Coturnix japonica: one gene and its partners. The protein of the gene in region 1 interacts with the protein of each later gene in a pairwise test. Links are inferred from orthologs where the notes say so. Each region holds a gene or a part of one and is shown on either strand. Other genes may lie near its edges. The genes, in order: TASOR2, KLHL40, PRKAB2 and NEK6.

Region 1 (3,734 bases):
ATGTCCAAAGTGTGCTGGGTGATTTCTTCAAAACCTTTCCACGTCCCCATCAGTGACTCCCGTAAATGAGTCTGTCCTTGTGAGCTTCCCATCCTGCCTGGGCATTTTGTGGTGACCATGAAGTTCAGGTAATCCCTGGAGATCCCCCGGCTGTCCGTGATATTGACATAGGGTGGCACGTGTCTGCTGCTGGTGTTCCATTGGCTGGTGGGCCACCAGCAGCCCTCCTCAGTGCTCAGGGATCCCCACTCCTCGCTGCATCCCTCTGAGCATCCCAAGCTTATAGAGGATGAGGAATCGCAGTCAGTCCTTGTGGCACCCATGGACCTCAAGCAATGGCAACACCTGGGCTTAAGAAGGGGGTGGGAAGTGCGTCCCAAGTGCTTCTCCCAGTCTGAGTCACTGGAGGAGGACCTGTAGGATGGATCTTCCCAGCTCAAACCCACATATTTTTCTGTGCTGGGGAGGCATTTTGCCTTCAGGAGAGCATCCAAAATGACCCCAGTGTCACTAACCACTGAGCTCTCTCCAGAATCTGCACATAGCTGTGATGTTGGGATTGGCAGAACAGGGATTTCTCCCTCTTCCAGCTCTTCATCAGCACAGTGCGGATCAGCCAACACAGCGGAGTCACCCTGGCTGCACAAAAACGTGGGCTCTCCCATAGGCATGAACAACTCCCCTGCTCCAGATGATGCAGGGGGGGCAGGAGGGATGCTGTTTCCTCCCTCGCATTCCTTAGGGCTCCCTGGGCAGGCACACTTGCTGTCAGCATCTGGTGGTAGCTGTTCCACACAGCTGGAGCTCAGGGCAGCATCTGGAGCAGGAGCTGGACTCATTTTGGGGTCCACACCAATGACTGGGTCTGGCTCAGTCTCATGGCCATGCAGAGGAGAACAAGGCCTTGATCCTGGCTCTTCAGGTGTGAGTATATCCAGAGGAGAGCTCTCTGTAGACTCTGCATGGCACAGCCCCAAGTCCTTCTTCGCTCCTTCTGCACATTCAGGCTTCAAGGAGCCACTCAGAGCTGGGTTCTCAGCAGCCACACTCAGCGCTGCAGCAACCACTGTCTTGCAAGGCTTTCCATGTGGGCACAAGTCTGGTTCCTGCTCACTTTGCTTTAATAAGCAGCAACAGGTGTCTGCAGCAGTACCGTGGGGAGAAGGGTCCTGATGGGGGGAAGGCAGGGATGGGCTGTTTGGAGAGCTCTGCTGGTGCTGGGCCACAGCAAGAGGTGGTATATCACCAACAGGCTCCTCTTCTCTCACTGAGGAGGAAGAATCTAACAGGTCACACAGAGAGGTCTTCAGTTCCTGTGGTGCATCAGCTGTGCTCGTTTCATTGCTCTTAGGGGGCTTCTCAGCAGCACTCAGCAACGTGAGCTCAGCACTATCACCTGAAGACCTTTGGGAAAGGCTCCCTCCTGGGCCACCCCTTGGTGGAGTTTGGAGGAGAGTTGCGGCCACCTGGTTCTCTGGAGCAGCTCCCATATCAGTTCCTCCATCAGAGCAGATGCTGGAGTCAGGGGACAGGGTTAGGAAGGGTCCCTGGTCTCGTGGTGACTCAGGGCCAGCTGTGCAGGCAGCTTTGCTCCCAGCAAGCACCCATGTTTCTGCAGAGGGCGCACAATCCTCGTCTTTCTGCTCCAAACCATCCCTGAGCACCTCGCTGGCAAGTCGGGAGCTGCTCGTAACGGTAACCCCACAAACAAGGTTTTGACTGGGGGACAATGGCAGCACTGACACAGGATCATCTGTACATGCCAAACCAATGCTATTTGCCCCTGCATTTGGAGTGGCCATAGCCCCTGAGGGCTTTGGAGGTGCTGAATTCACCAGCTCTCCATCACCTCTTTCTGAAAATGCTAAATCAACAGGCCTTGTGATCGTGCTTTCATTTTCAGAGTCTTCCTTCTCTCTTTTTCCTTCCTCCACCTCTTCCTCCTCTTTTTCACTACGTCCTATGGGCTCTTGTGATTCCCTCTCTTCTTCACCAAGCCCAATGAGGTTTGAGTGAGTTTTGAGACTTGCTTCTGAGGGCATCGAATCACAGGAACGTGGACTGTGGTCACCCCTTGAGCACGCTGCCCCCATGCTCTCTGGCTGCTCTCCACCTCCATGCTGAGCACACAGGGCAGCACTCTGGGGAGCTGGGCTAAAATTCAGGGTTTGGCCACGTGGGTTTTCCCTGCCCAGCACAGCCTGGGGTTCACCAGCATCGCCAAGCTCCTCAGAAGGGCTGGGGGTCATCTCAGCATCCCTCAGCTCCTCCTTGAGTGGCTCAACCTGAAACAACATAAGCCAGAGGTTAACCTTAAAGATAGGAACTGAGAAACCCCATGTGCGAGGACATGGATATTCTAACAACTCAAACTTTGTCAGTACAACCACCCCAGTGGCATCTGTGGAGATAAGTTTGCCTCCCAAATAAGTCTGGCTTGAATCTTTATCAGACAGGAGTCACTACCATGGCCACAGACAGCCAGGGAAAGGATATGAAGCTTTTTATCTTCTATATACAGTGAAGAGGCGTAAAAACAGACCAAACTGTGCAGAGATCTCAATAAGGATCCATCACAGGCTGGAAAATGCCCAGAGGAGACAGGCAGGCTTTTGAAACCCCATCTTGGGGTAGTTCTGGTTTTCCTTCTCCCTCACTTAAGAGTAGATTTCTAATAGAGACCTTTATACTGATAAAAACAAACTGAGCCATGCTGGATCTCCAGTGACTGAGGGTTTGTTTGCTCACTAGTCTTCTCTCTGGGGTCTGGAGAAGTCCAGTGATTGAGGGTTTGCTCAGACCCTGGAGAGAAGGTGCTTGTGTTTATATGGCCTTGAGAAATCTGATATTTACTCGCTCCAATCCTTTGGGATTCCTGCACATCGTGTCCCTGTTCTCTCAGTCAGTGATGGATACGGCTTCCCTCAGAGCCCAGGGATACCAGCTCAGAGTGAACTGGAATTGAGGCCTCTGAGAACTCTGAGTATGTGTGCATAGGGCAGCAAACTGCTGAATGACTTTCATGTATCATGCTTCAGAGAGCCCAACTACATCGCCCCAAGAGAGCTCACAGGCACATCTGCTCCATTCCACCCACAAGAACCTACTTGCACAAGCACAAAATGCACTGTGCGCCCTGCTGGCTTGTAGCACCCACACCCCAAGCTCTTACTGCAGTGATAGTTGAGACGTCATGCACACACTTCTCAGTTCTGTCTTTCCCAGCCGGGTTGCTCTGATCTGCATGTTCAGTGAGGGAAGGGCTCTCTGGGCTGGTGGAGGAAGGCTCCTCCTCCCCTGAAGAGGATGATACCGTACTATCAACAACACCAGGAGTCCCATCAGCATCAGTCTGAGAGTCTGCAGCGCTCTTCTCCGGGTGGAAACAGCCCTGGCAGTGTGTGCTGGGATCCAGAGAGCTTCTAGGAGTCTGGTCAGGGTCTGACCGTGAATCCGCAGGGCACGTCTCCAACTCGAAGCAATCATCGCTGTCTTCACTCAGCTCAAAGAAGTCTCCAGTGCTGTTTAAGGAGACGTATTTCTTGGGGTTGCTGTGCTTCACCACTTTCCTCGTGCTGCTAAAGAGTTCACTGGGCTTGCTGTAGAATAGAGCTACCCACATGTGAAGTATCAGCTTCATCTCTTCCACATCATCGGGTAGATCACAGTCCCAGGGCCTGGAAGAGAAAGCAAACACAGCCTGAAGTCATGGAATCGTTTGAGTTGAAAGGGAC
Region 2 (2,960 bases), on another chromosome or scaffold:
AGGAGTGGTGCCTCCCTGGGTAATCCTGCTGGCATTTCTTACTGAGGATTGTCTTTGGGCTGTAACAGCCTCTCAACAAGAGATGTTGGATGGTCTCTTAGCCAGAATTTTGCTTGGCCATGTGCAACTGCGCTGCCTTCCTTGGAAGAGCTCTGGCTGGTGTTGGCCCTTTTTTGCTGACATGATGGGAGATTTCAAATTGCCATTTTATCTTCTCTTGCTCTGTTCTAAGGGTGTTACCTCCTAAAGCATTTAATGGATGTGAACAACATGGGAGTGCTCAGCTCCTATTAACCAAACTCCCAACAGACAGTGCAAGGTGAGCAGCTGAGGATGCAGACCAGGATGCTGGCTGGGCTTAATCACTGCTTCTCAAGCCATTATCGAGGGACCACTAATTACTGAGACACAACAGTGCTCCCATTGACTGCAAAGGGCCACACCACTGGCTTCAAAGGGCCCACATTTCCCCCAGGAGCAGCTGAACCTCCATGGGGAAGAACCCTCTCTCAGGACCACTTTCCACTTCTGCAACAAGTCACTGTATTACTTTGGGACTCTTCCATGGGAATTTCTCCAGAACTGGATGGAGGGTGACCATTTTTTTATTCATTTATTTGGCCACAGGTTTTTTTTCATGTTTGGTTATTTTGAACATTTTAGTTGGTTTCCTTTTCCCCCTCCTTTTTAATGCTATCAGATGCCAGCCAGTCACTTCGGATTTATTTTTCTTGTGAAAATGTTTCATTGCTCTTCTGACATAATCATCTTCTAAGGAGATTATCCCATAACTCTTCTTAGAAAATCTCCTTACAATGAAGGCAGAACGAGTCTCTGGCTCCTTTACTCATGGAAAATTGTCTTTACTTCCAAACTCATTTTAGCTTCTCAAGACAGCATTTTAATCTAGTCAAATCAGCCAGACTTCTGATATCAGTGTTCGTGCTGCTTTGAGGGCATTTATTTACAAGATCTGTATTTGTTCTTCTTCATTACCATCAACCCTGTTTGTTGCACCGTGTGATGATGGAGGCATCCAGCTGGTATTTCTCTTCCTAGACAAGTTTCTAGTCCTCATGTCTACTGAGAAAAGCTTTTAGGACATGAACACTAAAGGTTCTGCTCTGAAATGGGGAAAAATCAGAACTGTAGAAGCTGGGGCTCCCCATGGGGCTGGATTTCTCCATGCATTCATCACAGCTTTTGCTCAGCCCTTGCATGCGGTTGCTGTGGGCATCCATTTACAGCTCCATCAACATTCAGAGAAAGGAAATTTGGGGATAAATATTTTCAAGATTTATTCTGAAGTGAATTGCTGGTCATACAGCATGGACATCATCGTTAGATTTCTGGTCTAACTACACATCTCTGTCCTGCTGCTGGCACAGTCGTGTTTCTAACAAAAAATCATCATGATCACTTAAAAAAAAAACAAAAACAAAACAGAACACAGTGCGTTTTGACTCAGCAGGAAGCTCTCTTTGAGCCAAACGCTGCTGAGATCTCCAAGAATTCTGCAAATTAAAACAGTGCTTTAAAAAAAAAAAGAAAAAAAAGTTTGTGACAATAAAAATGAAAGCATAAATAAAAAACCTTTCCCTGAAGAAAAGCACTTGTCCCTTGATACATGAGGACATTGTAATCTGTGATAGACCACGAGGAGCTCTAGGGGATGGAGATGAGCGTCACACCCATAGCCCCTCTTGCAGCCCTCACCTCCTTGCATCCCTTCAGTGCAAAGTCAGGATGGAGGTGAATAACTATTTTTTTTCCTGTTCATTGCAGTGTTGAAGGAATTTTTGCCCCCACTGCCAACATGCCTGTTTTCTTTTAACTGTCTCATCCCAATGACCTTCACCACGTGGGAACTCTCAGAGTCCCCCAGATCTGACCTGCACCACCTCCCTTTTCCCTCTGAAGTGATTTGTAGCACCACACCTGCAGCTACCTTAGGTGAAGAAACATATCAGAGACCCTTTTGTCTGGAGAAACATCAGCTTAATGCCTTCAGAACCCTCTTCTACCTCCACTGATGGCTGGAGAAGACTGGAAAAAACTAAGAGAAAGAAGTGGAACAAGAGTAGAATCTCTTTGTTCTGCCAGCTGAGACTGGATTAGCGTATTGCTCCATGTCTGTTAGTCTTCCCCAGCTCCTCACATGCTCTAAAGTCCTTTTTTAGTTACCGTGTGAGCCCCAGCAAATTTAAGGCTTCAAGTTAATTTTCCCCCTCTCCCATTTGTCTCAGTGAAATGGTACCAATCACAGACACAATGTCCTACACAGTATATAGAGAAACAGCATCTCCTACTGCTCCCTGTCCCTCCCTGCCCACTGAAGAAAGGAAATGGTGCTACATCTTCGTCAGCCGCAAAACATTGAGGCGCACGGGAAGGAAAGTGGCACCAGAGGCGTATTGGATCTCACGGAGGACCCCTTCCCACTTCTTCTGCTCTTCATCGTATCTGGGGAGAGACAGACAGACAGCTATGGTGAGGAAAGCATCCCCTCTCCGCACCTTATAAACCCCCCACCTCCACAACACCTGGCTACAACGCAGCTGCTGGAACCCTGGGGTATGGGTTGGTATCACCAAGATGGAAGATCTGTGGTGAAGGCCAGGAAATGCCTGCTGAGGGTGCTCTACATCCACAGACCTGGGGGATGGGAGCTAATCCTGTGTGAGCAGCTGTTAGAAAGTGCTTTCTGTCTCTGCTCTCATGTAGGACAATCTGGTTTCCAGCCCAAGCTCTGGCTTTTCTCAAGGAGAGCGTTCATTGCAGAAACACTGCTTCAAGACAAAGGGGAGATGTGGAACCAGCTCCAAACAAAATAGCAATTCAGGAGAAAGAAGATTTTTCCTGCTATTTCTCTATTGGAGGCTGGGAGAAATCACCAAATCACCTAACGTGCCCTCCAGCACAGTACAAAGCACACATCTCAACCAGAGACCTCTTGCTGA
Region 3 (4,525 bases), on another chromosome or scaffold:
CTCTCCGTGAGCAACTTCATGCTGGAGAGGAAACTCAACATGCGCTTTGACCACGCTCTGTATGGTCTGAAGCCAAAACACCGGTGAGTGTTCGTGGCAGAGTTATGGGGGCCTGCCTGCACTCGGTCCTGCATGAGCTCTGTTTGTTCTCACCAGGGTCTTCAACCAGCACCTGACCATCAACGACGACCTGCCCAACCGTGTCATTTCGGGCAGGGTGCGGGTGAAGCCAAACATCAAGGAGTTCACGGAGACATCTGCCATCTTTGAGGATGGCACTAAGGAAAACATCGATGCTGTAGTCTTTGCCACAGGGTACAGCTTCTCCTTCCCCTTCCTTGAGGACTATGTGAAGGTGGTGGAGAATCAGGTCCCCCTCTACAAGTTTATGTTCCCAGTTGACCTGGAGAAGCCGACGCTGGCTTTCATTGGCTACATCCAGCCTCTGGGAGCCATCATGCCCATCTCGGAGATGCAGAGCCGCTGGGCCACCCGTGTCTTTAAGGGTAAGCGAGGCGAGCCGGGAATGCACTTCTCTGGGTATGGCAAGGCCAAATTATTCAGTTGCTGGCATGTGCTCCTCCTTTTATCATCCTTCTATGAAGGGATATAAAACATCACTGCATTTTGCAACAAGTGTTGCACTTTATTTCATCACATACAGCTGGTAATGGATCTCCTCACCTGCAAACCATTTTCTCTCTCTTATTTCTTTGCCCATGCCTCTCTCTTGCCCCATTTGGTGGCCCAAAGGCTTTTCCTGTGGCACAGCAGCCACGCTGGGCGCAGAGGGACACAACTGCTGATAGCACAGCTCTCTGCTTCTCCTTCTGTAGGTCTGCACAAGCTGCCCCCAACCAGCACCATGTTGGCTGACATCACACAAGCCAAGGAGAAAATAGCCAAGCGGTAAGAACCCTGCGGGGCACCAACCTGCCACCACCTCCTCGATGAGCACACACAGAGCCTGTCCCTGCCCACAGGTACGTGGCCAGCCGGCGGCACACCATCCAGGTGGATTACATCCCCTACATGGACGAGCTCGCCTGCCAGCTGGGCGTCAAGCCCAACGTGCCGCTGCTTTTCCTCACTGACCCCAGGCTGGCGCTGGAGGTGCTGCTGGGGCCCTGCACGCCCTACCAGTACCGCCTGCATGGCCCCGGCGCATGGCAGGGTGCGCGGGAGGCCATCCTGACTCAGCAGCAGCGCGTGGAGCACCCGCTGCGGGGCAGGGCCGGGCACGGCCGCTCTGTGCCGCCCTGCAGCTCGGTGCCACACAGCTTCAAGGTCCTCTTCAGCCTCGGACTCATCGTGGCCACGCTCATCTACGTCTCGCTGTCCCCATAGCCCCTAGTGAAGAGGGCTTTGGCCATCCCCTAACTCTGCCTTGGGTTTCGGTGTCGCTGGGAGGGGCACGGGGCACGTTTTCCTCATGAGAAAGGCAATAAAGCTCGTCCTTGTTCTCCATGAAGGCTCAGGCTCTGGGCTGCGCTCATTAACGCCCGCACTGCACAACGCAAACTACTCGCACCAGGCCGCGCTCCCACAGCAAAGATGGCCGCTCTCCCGGAAGCCACACCGCCCTCAAACAAAATGGCTGCCCGGTACCATAGAGAGCAGCGCGGGGGCGGGACAGAGCGCCCCGCAGAGGCTGGCGGTGGAGGCGGCCGCCATTTTGATCGGAGGCGGAGAGCGGGGCGGCGGCGGCGGCGGCGGGCAGGTGGGGCTGCGAGCGGGGCTGCCATGGGGGGCTGCGCTGCCCCCGTGTGCTGTGGGGCCGGGTTGGGTGCTGGGTGTCACGGCGGGGCGGGGGGCCCGGAGCGGACAGGAGGCGGCAGGGGGTGGGGCTGTCAGGGCGGCGGTGCGGGGGGTGACGCTGTGGGCGGTGGTGCGGGTGTCGGTGCCGTTGGTACCGTAACGCCGCGCCCGGTGACACCGCTATGGCCGGCACTGTGCCGGGCGGTGCTGCAGCGGCCCTGCACATCTCATCGTTGCCGTGGGGTGAGCCGTGGGCTCGCTGCCCTCTGAGGGCTTAAGGAATACTCGAGTAATTGCCCCGTAATGGTTTAAAGCCAGGCTTTGGCTGGCGGCCTCACCCGGCCCTCCGCACATAGCTTGATGTTCTAAGCAAATCCGCAGCTGTCACAACGCACCCAGTGAATCAAGGCTGGCTCCCTGCAGAACACAGCCGGCTGCCCCAGCGATGGGCTCAGCCCATGTATCGCCCGGCGCTGGGCAGACACGCAGCCCTGGGGTCGGCTATGAGCGCAGCCTGCTCAGCAGCACAGCCTGCACACACCGTGTTGTTACTCCTTGCCCTGGCCGCACTCCAGCCTGGCCGATTCCACTCCTGCTACTTGCAGCACTGTTGCTGTGCCAGCCGTGAAGCCGTGCTGCTCTGCCCGCAGGCTCACCCACACTCGTTGGGAGCTGTTAACAGCTGCTACTTTCACTCTCCGGCTGTTTTCCTGCTGGCTGTAGCGTTGTGTTCTGTGCAGGCTGACTGTGGGGTTGTGAAAGAGGCTCTGTTAGTGCCGGGAGACAATCTGCCACTCAAGGGTGGCTTTATTTCTCTCATCAGCCCTTCTACTTGTGTAGGATGTGGTCTAACTCACTTTTGTTTTAGGGTATAACAATTACCGGCTTAACTATCACGATGGCTCATAAGGGTATGCCTATAATTAGTTCAGCCTGTCTCGCTTGTTAAATTCCCCTTCGGCTCCCAAACTTGGCATCGGGGAAGAACTTTGGGCCTTTTTTAGGATTGCTGTCACTCTGTGCTGGCAAAAGGCAGCGGGAAGCAGCACCCTGCTCCCTGCTGGAGCCCACGGACATAGGCAACACTGCCTTCTTCCCCCTCTCACAGCGGCTGCTGAGCTGTCATGGGAAACACCACCAGCGAGCGAGTGTCCGGTGAGCGCCATGGCTCCAAGTCCCACCGCTCCGACGGCTCCGGCGCTGCCCATCCCACAAAGGAGCACCCACACAAGATCATGGTGGGCAGCACAGATGACCCCAGTGTTTTCAGCTCCCACGACTCCAAGGTAGGGGGCTGGCTGCTGCCTTTGTTGTCCTCACGTCGGGTGCTGGGTGGTGTCCCATAGGGGGCTGTGCTGGGCTGAGGCTGCTTTCAAGGAGAGGATTTTTGGTTGGGAGCAGCCCTCTGTTTAATTCAAGCTAAATACAGGCAGGGTGGCAGTGTGCCGGGGTACAGCTTTCATAGCAGGAACCACAAGCTGAGCTGCAACACAGGAGAAACATCTCCTGGGATGGATGGGTGGAGCTGCCTGCCCAGCCTGAGGTTACTATTGTCTGCAATGTGCAAATGGAGGTGGAGGGAAATGAAACGGCTCTGGTGTTCTCTGCTCAGATTCCAGGGGACAAGGAGTTTGTTTCATGGCAGCCTGACCTGGAGGAGTCAGTGAAGCCATCCCAGCAGGCTCGGCCCACTGTCATCCGCTGGGCTGATGGAGGCAAAGAGGTCTTCATCTCTGGATCCTTCAACAACTGGAGCACCAAGATCCCGCTCATCAAGAGGTAGCTATACCCCTTGGCTCACCCCGTGTTCTCCTCCATCAGTCGCAGGGAGCGTTTTTCTCAGTGCCATTTGCTGTTCCCTTTGCCCAACCTGGCTTCTCACAGTTCATCATGCCCGAGCTCGAGGTGTGAGCACAAATATGCAGCCAGCATCCTGCCTGGGGGCTGCTGCAGTGGTAGGGAGAAACTGTGAAATGGGACAGGACAGGATGGGCCTCCTTGCTTTCCCAATTACATGCCACACAGCAGCCATCCTGGCAGCAGGGCCCTGCCCAGGTGTGCTGCAGCTCTCTGAAGCTTGGTGGCCCTTCTCCTTGCCTGCTTGTGTTGCTGCTAGAGGGAGTTGTTTGGTTGTCCCTCACCTGTCCTCCTTCCATAGCAGTGTCCTCGTTGTTCTGCAGTACACCTGTGTTTTCTGTGGAAACACTATGTAGGACTGGGCATAATCCCAGCAAATACCTGCCACGGGATTATCTCGACTGCAGACTTCACAGGCACTTCATGCTTTCATCCTGCAGTACCAGCACAGGTTTAGATTCGTTGTTCACTCGCCCTGTCCAGTGTGTCTTGCACTTGCCATCATGTGATCCCACACGATGTGTGGGGCAGGGCTGCAAGCTGAGCTCCTGTTTGCCTTGTGTCCTGATTGGAACAGATGATCTTAGTGTTTTTTTCCAACCCTAATGAGTCTACGATTCTATGGGCCCTGAGGGATCTGAATCATCCTGGGGCTCTGGGCACTCGCACCTGCTCTGGCCATGCCTTGAGTGATGAGCAATCCTAACCCAGCACATGGGTGTTTGGGTCGAGGGGGCAGGCAGTGCATGACAAAGTGCTCTTCTCTGGGACAGCATCCAAAGCATCACTGCAGTAATGGTGTTGTACATCTGTTCTCTCTGCACAGCCACAACGACTTCGTTGCTATCCTGGACCTCCCAGAAGGAGAGCACCAGTACAAGTTTTTTGTGGATGGCCAGTGGGTCCACGA
Region 4 (4,331 bases), on another chromosome or scaffold:
GGAGAAACCAGATCTACATACACACTAGCAAACGTTAACAGTGTGAATGTGGCACACCTGAAGAGCCCAGGAAAGCATAAAATACATGGAAGCGTGAACAAGCTCCTGAAAACAATATTAATATCACCCAGTTACACAACTTTATATTAGGCGTAGTAACATCATCCATAACCAAAGGGCTAAGATACTATCTAAAAAATGTCATTCATTCTGAATGACAAAACCTCTGAAGGACAAACCACAGCAGGCAGGAAATGGCTTTCTCCATCTGTGGAAACAGGGAAGCTTCAAGCAGCAGAGCCCGGCTCTGGTGCCGTGAGTAACAAAGCATCGACTATCAGACACAACTAACAGTTGTGCTTCAAACTAAAACTGTCGATAGTTTTAAGTCCTAAGGACACTGCACTGCGTTTTTTTAAATCAAACTGCACATGAGTGACATTTAACAGATGATGTTTTTGAAGCCTTTCAGAAGGTTATCTTCATCCAACTCACATGAATGCAAGTTACAAGTGGTCCCACTATGGAAACAACATCTAAGAACAAAAATACTGAAGTACTCTTATACATTTACATATTCCTAGTTTTAGAGGTAGTGTGGAAACCAAAGCACAATCATCAGTGAGAACTGCACCCGTGGTTCCAAGCCCCCCAAGGCCGAGGTGATGGAAGCACCCATCCCCTGCCTGCAGAGCAGCACTGAGCCTCCCACACTGGGACGGTGCTTATCCTGACAGCGCTGTGTTAAGATTTCATGCTGACTTTTTGTTGAGATCCTACTCCGGACAGCCTTAGTGGGCAGTAACGGGGTGCTGGCCTCCTGAACACCCCAAGCCCACCAAGAATGCTGCAGCAAAATGGCTGAGAAGACCTACAGCTTCTTCATGTCAACAACTGATATTCATTAAACAAATGCCATGACAGACACTGTAATTCACTGTTCTATACCTAGAAGCAAAATGACATTAAGTCAACAAACTTTACGCTACCCAGAGCTTATTCCCAATTGTGGTAACATTATCTTTTCAAGTACTCTCTAGTCTAGTTCAGGGACAAATCTATAGTGCAAGTTCAAAGTACTCTCCAAGCATTCTCTGCATCAAAATCCCCCTTTTTCCATCCATACCATACACCTGAAGAGGGTACTTGAGCTGATAAGTCTGACAGGAAGGTTTTCATGCTATTACTTTCATTAACTGCCACCACCAAGCAGGCAGGCAGCTACCAGCTTGCTTCCAGTTTTGGTTCAGCATCTCCCACGTCTCCATCCTGCCTCCCTTCACACTCAGCTCCTCGATGCAGCAGCATCCACTCCAGCTTAGAGGGCTATGATGTGGATGAGCTCTGCATGCTGTCCCCTATGGCTCCAAACACAGCAACAACCACGGATCAATTTCCTTCTCCCTTTTATTTGATTGATCCTTGCTGCTGCACTATTTTTTTGCAAACCCTCTTCATGTGGCACACAACACACAATAGGTTTAATGTGAGATATTTGCTGTTTGTGCCATTTTTTTGGTCACCTCCTCAGAACTCGGCCCCAGACCAGGAGATAGAATTGTTTCTAAAAGTCTTCTGAACCTAAACACACTTGAAACACTACTTAGCTCCATCCATTCATTACAAGGGATGGCTTCACAGGGCTCCCAAGAGACCAATGCCAGGGATACTCAGAGATTTATGGCTATGAATAAAGAATTACTTGGACAGTGAGATAAATGTTCCCCTCCACCAGCCCTAGCACTTCCTTCCCTGCACAGAACTTCCTACTGTGCCACCACCACCCATACATATTTGTGTACACCGTTCCTACTGTGGGCAGATAAATACCAAATGCATATTCACATACAACATTGAGTATGGACAGCAGGCAGCTGCGTTTAAAGTGAAAAACAGTTCCTCTGAAGACAGGTAATACAGTAATTACTGACCAACAAGAACGGGCTGCTTTTCTCCAGCCAGCACTCAGATATGCTGTGAAGCCAAGGCAAGGCTACATAATTCATACTCTTCTTCGTGCAATTCAGAGCCTCTTGAAAGCACTGGGCTGCCCAAGGAGACTGTGGATGCCCCATCCCTGCAGGCATTCAAAGCCAGGCTGGATGTGGCTCTGGGCAGCCTGGTCTGGTGGTTGGTGACCCTGCACATAGCAGGGGGTTGAAGCAAGGTGATCGTTGTGGTCCTTTTCAACCCAGGCCATTCTATGATTCTATGGTTTCACAGTCTTTGAAACAGCTGAGACAGACCTTGCAGGCTGCTACTAGCATTAAGGAAACATGCTGAAAACAAACACATACTCAATCTACCTGGAATTTTACCATGGTGCTTACTAAGCATGCAACAACATGCTTATCTTCTAACTCATAATGCAATAGAGCTTTCAAGCCTGAAGCCAAATTATTTAAGAACATTTACGTTATCCTCCTCAGAACTCATTCATTTCCAATGAAGGAAAGATTAAATATGAGCTAGAAATATATTTATATTGTATCTGTTCCCTGCCAGACACTGCCACATCTCTCCACCTGCCTGCAGTAACCTCATGCGTGGCCATGGGGGGTGCTCTGTGCTGCAGTCCGTGCAGCCAGCACACCTGGATCTCATGCAAAGGAACCCAGGGGATTTTTTTATATATACATATATGCACATCCAACTTCAAAACATCAGGACAACAGCTTGAAGTATTTACATTCCTCATAATCAAAAGTCACAGGAAATGATGCTGAGGACCACGCAGCCCAGCCGATCTGAAGATTCATACCATTCGAATCCAAAGGCAACTTCAAAGCCACCTCGTAAAGGCTGCGTGCTGCAGACACAGCAGCCAGATGCTGCAGGAGCTTCCCGGTATCCGGACCTTGCAGGAGCAGCCAAACGGAAGCAGAAACTCTTCCCAGGGTAAAAAGGTTTAACATCTTTCTACTTACAAAAACATCTACATCAGAAACAGGTTTGGATCCTTCCTCCACTAAATACGGTAAGGACAACTGTATTAGCATCTATACTAGTACAGTGGTGTCTTTCCCTACACATTCCTGAAGATCTGGAACTGACAGCAGCCACTCTTCTATGTGTAACCTGCTCTTGGCTCCATCTCCCCAGGGCACAGACACAGCTCCTGGATCAGCGCTGCACATCGCGGCTGCGGGGCAGAACAAGAAGATCTGTTCTTCGGGAAGTCTGCACAGCTCCTTTGATTCCTTATTCTGCTGACAGACAGGGTTAATGAAGTTCTTGCAGAGAACTCTCCCTTTCCTGGGCTAAATGCCCAAATTCTTTCAGGATTCACAAGACTGTCTATTTAAATTGGGTCCAATTTTTCTTGCTGCAGAGGCCTGCACAGAATGTTCTGACGAGAAGCTGGGAATCAACCTTTTGAGAAACTCGTAACTGAACGCACGAGCTCCGTGCAACACACAGAAACCATTCAGTGCCACATTCCGCTCTGTGCGTAATGACTCTGTTATGTTAATAAGTGACAATGCTGGAGCATGAACCCAGCAGTACCAGCACATCATTTAAACCCACGGGCAAGCATGTAAGCGCAGGTAAACACAAACCCATCCTCCATGTGCTTCCATCACATGCTTTGGGGAAAGGAGGGGATCCACCTTGCACCTGCAGCTGTTTCTTGTGAGTGGTGGATGGGGACCAATAGGGGCCGGGGCTTTTCCCAGTGCCAGGAAACCTTCTGCCCAGAGCCATAAGAAACAGAGCTGCTGCCCAGGCACAACCCTCTGTACTTCCCAGAGCACAAGTACCAGCCTGTGTAAGGCATTCGCTCGAGAGGTTCCATTATGCAGTCATACATACAGATCTTTCTATAATACAACACATCCAATGCCTTTATTACATCTCCTATACAAATTAAAACCACTCTGCCTGCAATTTTAGATGTAAGTTCTGTAAATTTTAAGGAATTTTAAGTGCACGCAGATATGCAGAGGGCCTTCAACAAGGCTGAGGCTCCCAGCAGCAGCCTTGGCCACATCCTGTTCTGCAGCTCTTCCCAACAGGAGAGAGGGGACTGAAGCTGCTGCCCATGGACAACAGCTCCCAGCTGCCCACAGCTCAGTACAGCTGCTCACGGCTCACAGACCGAGTGACAGCAACACTACTGCTCTGTCTTAAACCCAGTTTTGTTTTGTTGTAGAACCAAACAGAAAACAACATGTTACATACACCGTTTTCAAACCACAAAGTTATCTCAGACACGTTACACAAGAGTAAGAATTTCAGTGTGCAGCCTGATTCAAGCTAGCCTTAGATATGGCAGCTCAGCAAAGCTGGGCTCCTAAACCTTAGTGGAGTTTCTAATTAACTCGATTAAC

The links.
Region 2: the proteins of TASOR2 (region 1) and KLHL40 interact in binary tests that used the Homo sapiens proteins (3 or more experiments, as listed by UniProt). The two-hybrid records come from large-scale screens. The link is inferred for Coturnix japonica from reciprocal best matches to the Homo sapiens genes TASOR2 and KLHL40.
Region 3: the proteins of TASOR2 (region 1) and PRKAB2 interact in binary tests that used the Homo sapiens proteins (3 or more experiments, as listed by UniProt). The link is inferred for Coturnix japonica from reciprocal best matches to the Homo sapiens genes TASOR2 and PRKAB2.
Region 4: the proteins of TASOR2 (region 1) and NEK6 interact in binary tests that used the Homo sapiens proteins (3 or more experiments, as listed by UniProt). The link is inferred for Coturnix japonica from reciprocal best matches to the Homo sapiens genes TASOR2 and NEK6.

The regions. Positions count from the first base shown.
Region 1 is NC_029516.1:1,091,077-1,094,810, forward strand, and holds part of TASOR2 (protein TASOR 2), read right to left. Parts: intron 3,678-3,734; coding exon 3,173-3,677; intron 2,286-3,172; coding exon 1-2,285.
Region 2 is NC_029517.1:1,772,060-1,775,019, forward strand, and holds part of KLHL40 (kelch-like protein 40), read right to left. Parts: intron 2,464-2,960; coding exon 2,352-2,463; 3' UTR 1-2,351. UniProt on the Homo sapiens protein: Substrate-specific adapter of a BCR (BTB-CUL3-RBX1) E3 ubiquitin ligase complex that acts as a key regulator of skeletal muscle development.
Region 3 is NC_029523.1:4,168,045-4,172,569, reverse strand, and holds the start of PRKAB2 (5'-AMP-activated protein kinase subunit beta-2), read left to right. Parts: upstream 1-1,645; 5' UTR 1,646-1,720; intron 1,721-2,227; exon of another isoform or gene 2,228-2,866; 5' UTR 2,867-2,882; coding exon 2,883-3,044; intron 3,045-3,370; coding exon 3,371-3,537; intron 3,538-4,441; coding exon 4,442-4,525. Other genes in the region: dimethylaniline monooxygenase [N-oxide-forming] 5-like, read left to right, coding at 1-83, 157-506, 837-909, 984-1,347. UniProt on the Homo sapiens protein: Non-catalytic subunit of AMP-activated protein kinase (AMPK), an energy sensor protein kinase that plays a key role in regulating cellular energy metabolism.
Region 4 is NC_029532.1:7,814,317-7,818,647, reverse strand, and holds the start of NEK6 (serine/threonine-protein kinase Nek6), read right to left. Parts: upstream 2,931-4,331; 5' UTR 2,916-2,930; coding exon 2,762-2,915; intron 1-2,761. UniProt on the Homo sapiens protein: Protein kinase which plays an important role in mitotic cell cycle progression. Required for chromosome segregation at metaphase-anaphase transition, robust mitotic spindle formation and cytokinesis.